Xenopus tropicalis: one gene and its partner. The protein of the gene in region 1 binds, or shares a complex with, the protein of each later gene. Links are inferred from orthologs where the notes say so. Each region holds a gene or a part of one and is shown on either strand. Other genes may lie near its edges.

Region 1 (3,760 bases):
CTATGTGAGGAATTCTATTACAATGTTTTATATTTATAAAGCTTTAACGGGATCGTGTTTGACTTCACACTCATGTCTCCCCCTTGTTTAGCTCAAAGAATAGCCAAAACCATGTTCTTTTCCTGGGAGACAGCACCAAGAACATTCATACACAGTAGAAGAATGTTTAGAAGACCAGTCTTTGCAGTTTTAAATTTCCTTTAATGTATATCCAAGTTGCGTAGAATTAAATTTTTTCATTACAAAAACAGTTTTTGGCTGGAGGACCCTTTTAATTAAAATAGCCAAAAACAACCTATTTATTGTACAAGGTAATATACAGCTGCGTTAAAATGCTTTAGAAACACTGCTATAGTCTATACCAGTAATGCCCAACCAGTGGCTCCCAGTGGACTTTAAGCAGGTGCTTATTTTTTGTAATTTCTGGTAAGGAGGCAAGTTTCTGTTGCATAAAAACCAGCTGTATTGCCAGCACAATCCTGTAGGCTTCCAGTCCCCATAAGGGCTACCAAATAGCCAATAACAGCCCTTATTTGGCAACCCAAAAGAATTTTTTATGCTTCATTTGCTCCCAAACTCTTTTTACATTTAAATGTGGCTCACAGGTACAAAAGGTTGGGAAACCCTGGTCTATAGAAATAAAGCTGCATGGGGGCAGCTATTCAAACAAAGAGGGCTGAATGGCACAGGTGACAAAAAGATAAGCTCTGTAAAATACAATACAGCTTATGTAACCAGCACCTTTAGGGCTCTGGCACACGGGGGAGATTAGTCGCCCGCGATTAACTCCCTGTTCGCGGGCGACTAATCTCCCCGAGTTGCCTACCCCTGCCATCCCACCGGCGAACATGTAAGTCGCCGGCGGGATGGCAGACGTGGCGGCGCGATTTCGCGCAAATCGCCGAAAAAGACTCGCAAGTCTTTTTCGGTGATTTCCGGAAATCGCCCCGCCGCGTCTGCCATCCCGCCGGCGACTTACATGTTCGCCGGTGGGATGGCAGGGGTAGGCAACTCGGGGAGATTAGTCGCCCGCGAACAGGGAGTTAATCGCGGGCGACTAATCTCCCCCGTGTGCCAGAGCCCTTACTCAGTTTATCCCAGCTTGGATGGCTGCCCCCACTGATACACAGCAGCTTATTTATATGAACTATAGTAGTATCAGTGGGGGCAGCCATCCAAGCTGCTGTGTGTTACTGAAGCAAACACCAGTTCTACCAGTGCAGGGTAACACTACATCGTATTTTGATTACTTTGAAACACTTACATAGTTTAAAAGAATAGGAACACCAAAATATGTTACCGTTTGGCTTCTGTGGGTAGATAAAGGAGACTTTTCTCCATGTTAAAAGAGAAGTTTATACATGAACAACAGAAGAGTGCTTAGTAAAAAGAGCAAAAGGAAATTGTCACCCTAAATATTTTTTAAATTACACAACAGGAATGCAATACGGGTGTAGCCACACCCCACTAACTAGGCTCCTGTAACTAACAGTTTAAAAGTGCATAGCAACAACAGCATTTACATATTTTACTTCTGCTCCTTATCACTGAGCTTTACTGTGAATATACTGACATCTAGAGACACAGCTAGGAAATTGAAATAGATTAGGATTAAAGGAGACATTGTATAAAAATTAAGAATGTACCAGTAAATTATACTCCTCTAGATATAGAAGGACTGTGGTTTAAAAAAAATTGTTTTTTGGACTGTTTTATTGAGAAATTCCACCAAAACCCTAATAGTCCCGCCCATCTGTTCCACTTCCTGCTGGCTGGATAGGAACCAATCAGCAGCTAGGATGACCTGATAGGGAACTGAAGCCTGTCTCTGCTTGTGTGAGTGCTGGGCTGTGATTGCCTTCCCCCCTCCTACTGTGCTTCTGGCAGGGACCGTTAGGACACGCCCACCCTTCATTTTAAACAGGGACAGAGAACTGATAGGATCTACAGGGAGCTCCAATAAAGAGGCCATATTTACAGATGAGTATTTTTTAGCCCAAATGAAACCCGCAGCATATATTGTTCATAATTGTCTACAAAATTAGGTTTTTTTTTCCCCTATTTTTCCATGTCTCCTTTAAGCTATTTACGCTTCTGACCACAATATAACTGCTTCTTTTGCAATGGATAGGGTAACCGAGGCACTATATAGGGAATAAATAGGTGCCTTTTGGAAAATACTTTGCCCCTAACAATTCACACACACATTTTTAGTTTAACACAGCCTTTACAATTGTTGGTCCATAAGGTCTATCACTAGAGTTTATACTGCAATCACCAACGTACTTACAAACATGGCATAAGGTAAATATTTATAAGTTTAGGTGCACTTGCTATAGATATAATACGAATGACTTGCTTATTTTACTTACTTGGCAGTTCATGTTATCCTCTGCTTCAATCAATTTCCCCCTGTATACCTCTCCGGTGTTAGTTTCACATGTCACAATGTGGCCTTCTGCCTCATGAAGGACTTTAATTGGTACACCGATAGACATATTGAGAGCTAATGGAGATTAACCTGCAATTGGAGAAATAAAAATTAGCAAAAAAACGTGGAGAACATACAAAGCGCAACGCAGGTTACTGCATACAATGCAGCCATGTGCAAACTATAAGGTATATTCAAATAAAAATCCTTATTACATAATGTTTATCCAGCCTAAAGCTTTAATCACTTACAGTCTATAAATTCAGCCATACATATGCACACAAACATGCCCAGCCCTTCAGAAACACATGCACGTTAGGACATCGCAGCAGCACAACCCGCAGAAGCAGAGGAGTAACCCTCAATGAATGAGTTCCCTGGGATACTGGCACTGAGGCCTACACAAACGTTTCAGTGCCCCCGGCCTAAGGCAGGAATATTTATAGAAACGGATAACGGACTGGTAACACAGTGAGATGCGTTGGGCCCGGCACCCTGTATATAACCTCACCATAAGGCAATATTTAGAGGGAAGCCCTGCTCACACTCATACAAAGCTGCCAACCGCACAGACCTAAGGGAAAGCGAACAAGCGCCGAGTAACCGAGACGCACACCCCGCCCAGATATCCGCACGCTGCAACCCCCGGGCCTCTCTGACAATCCTGCAAAGCGCAGACTTTTTACCGAACTTTTGTTTGCTTTGGGTAATACTTACTAGCGTGGCTCTGTTCTGCGTTCTAATGGCGTCCCGCCTGCCCCACAATGCACAGCGAAAGGAAACAGGCTGTCGTATCTCTCTGCCCCCTTTTCCCGGCGACTGCACAAGCAAACAACTTCCGGTGGGAAACAGATATGAGTGACTTAGTTCCGCTCATCAACCCATTTATCTATTCACACCATTTAAGAGCGGCTAGTTGCACTGCAACTTTTCATATTATATATTATGAATTATTATTAAATATCTTGAGCTGAAACCTCCAATTAGACTCAGACGTGCAATCTGTGGATTGTGATAAATGCCAGAAGGGCTGCTGTAAGATGTCACAGACACTATTTATTGGGGTGATAGGGGGCTATTTGGGTATCCGCGTATAATTAAATGCCAAGGCCCCATTTCCAGTCCGCACCTGATCAGACTGTTTCTTTTAGTCTGCGCTTTTAATAGGTGCTGATTCTGACTTTATTAACTGAATTGGCAGACCGCTGGCATATGTATGGGCCCAGAATGATCAGGCTTATTTTGTTTATATATCTGCTGAATGCATTGTTTCTGAACTGCCAGAAAGCACATGCAACATTAAGTAAAATGGACAAAATGGCATCTGTG
Region 2 (2,137 bases), on another chromosome or scaffold:
ACATTGTTATACTTACTTCTGCTATAGTTCCAGAGATATTGATATTAATCCCCAAATGCAGTGTCTTCCAGTCACAGTTTTAAATGTAGGGTATTTAAGTGGTGGTTTACCATTAAATTAACTTTTAGTATGGTATTAAATGCCCTATTCCCAGCAACTTTGCAATTGATTTTCATATTTTTTTTTTTTTTAAATTACATGCTTTTCTCTTCTGCCTCTTTCCGTCTTTAAAATGGGGTCACTAACACTGCCAGACAAAAACCATTGATCTGTGTGGCAATGGTTGGTTTTTTTTCCCCTGTCTATGCAGGCTTTCTCCTATTCATATTCCAGTTCAAACCACTGCCTAGGGTAAATAATAGCAACCAGATAGATGTAAGAATATGAAAACTGAAAGCAACTCAACAAAAAGCTATATAAAAAAAAACAATTATGAAGCCTAATTGCAACTGACCCTAGGGTTGCTGGCTACTAAAAGCACCCTGACTACGTTTACCTTTTCCAGTTTTTTTTTTTTTTTTGGGTGGGGGGGGGGATGGGCAGCTAGATTCTCTTCAAGAACACCAAACATAGCACCCTGACAATAACATTTTACATACTTATTAATCTAATAAGTGAACCACAGTGAACAATTAAAAAACTAACAAGGGTATGTTGTACAAGGATTCAACAAGAGTTGATTGTTTTATTACAAGTGATAAGCAGTTGAAAGAAAAGCCTAGATTAGTCGTACAAGGATTTCGAAGAGACTTCAGGCAAATGCACAAACGTCCTCAAAGTACTTTATCACGGACTCCTGGAATTCAGAAACTCCATTTAGAATTAGCACAGTCCTGCTTTATGATACACGCCTGTTGATTAGGCGGGAATCTCTTGCTTAAGTCCCGGAAACTTTAAGACGAACGGCGATAAGTTTGATCGACTCCAAGAACTCCATAACAGGCAGCCTCAGAGAAGAAACCATCGCCACGCTTAAGAGTCGTCGGGCTTATCAGCTGGGGGCCCACACGGCTGCAGCATCTTCTCCATCAGGTTAAAACGTACCCGTGCTTTACTTTCGTTCTCAGCCACGGCAAAGTAATTGAGCAGATCAAAGTGGCCCATGTAGGAGCAGTAAGAGTCTCTGTGCTGGTTCACCAGCCACTCCCACTTAGTAGTATCCGCATGGCCCGTGCCGATATACTTGGACTGCAGATGCTCCAGTTGGCTGTGAATAGTATATCGGTCTGTCATGGCGATGGCAAGCGCTAACAGCAAGCTCACTGTACACGACTTGGTGTTATGATATGCAGCGGTAGCGCCTTTGGCTTCCGGAGGACAAAAGAAGTCAGCGTGTTACAGCAGCCGGAAGTTACGTTGCTTCCGGGAGTGACCAATATATCGACGCCGACTAAAATAAATAAAGTTTCGTAATTTTGTAGTGTTTTGCTCATTTTCGCTTCAGCGATTGGCCCGCCTATTTCAAGCGAAATCGAAACTCCCTGCATGCTCAGTTGTGGGACACAGGGAGAGAACAGGCGGAAAGCTGTATGGAAAAATATAAAGTGGTTGCAGTTGGGTCAATTCTATAGGAATAAACCATTTTTTGAATAGTAACCTCCGCAACATGTTAACACATGAAACAATACCCAGCGGCATATAGATTACTCGCCTTCCAACCTTTACCTTTAAAGTGATAATATCCGTGATTTTAGCACACAGTCTTGCGATTTATTAAAGTTATATAAAGGCAAGGGTTCAATGTCCCCTCTAATTTCTTCTCAGTTATGTACACAAAAAATATTTTGTGCGCACAGTTTTTAATTTTTTGCATTCAGCATGTGTTTGTAAATGCATACATTAAAGTGATGTTAGAGCCCTAAGGGAGCAACTAAGACACTACCCATTTTAGACATGTAAACTTTGGCAGTATAAGGGCATTTCTGGCACATAATAACTTGGAGAGGCTTTTCACAGGGTTAAACACCGAAGGGTTAAATTGACCTATCAGTATATTCCTCTTGTAACAAGCAAAGATCTATTAAAGAAAAATTATTTTTGCTTGAAAGAAAAAGTTAGAACTGAAGTAGGTAATAAATGTGCTTTAAAGTAATTCAAGCTTGTTGAATCATTTTAGGTCTGTTACACATGGGGGAAA

The links.
Region 2: snrpd3 (region 1) and sf3b5 share a complex: the UniProt entries of both Homo sapiens proteins name them as parts of the minor spliceosome. The link is inferred for Xenopus tropicalis from reciprocal best matches to the Homo sapiens genes SNRPD3 and SF3B5.

The regions. Positions count from the first base shown.
Region 1 is NC_030677.2:152,605,415-152,609,174, reverse strand, and holds the start of snrpd3 (small nuclear ribonucleoprotein Sm D3), read right to left. Parts: upstream 2,522-3,760; 5' UTR 2,499-2,521; coding exon 2,373-2,498; intron 1-2,372. UniProt on the Homo sapiens protein: Plays a role in pre-mRNA splicing as a core component of the spliceosomal U1, U2, U4 and U5 small nuclear ribonucleoproteins (snRNPs), the building blocks of the spliceosome.
Region 2 is NC_030681.2:58,017,816-58,019,952, reverse strand, and holds sf3b5 (splicing factor 3B subunit 5), read right to left. Parts: upstream 1,236-2,137; 5' UTR 1,234-1,235; coding exon 973-1,233; 3' UTR 658-972; downstream 1-657. UniProt on the Homo sapiens protein: Component of the 17S U2 SnRNP complex of the spliceosome, a large ribonucleoprotein complex that removes introns from transcribed pre-mRNAs.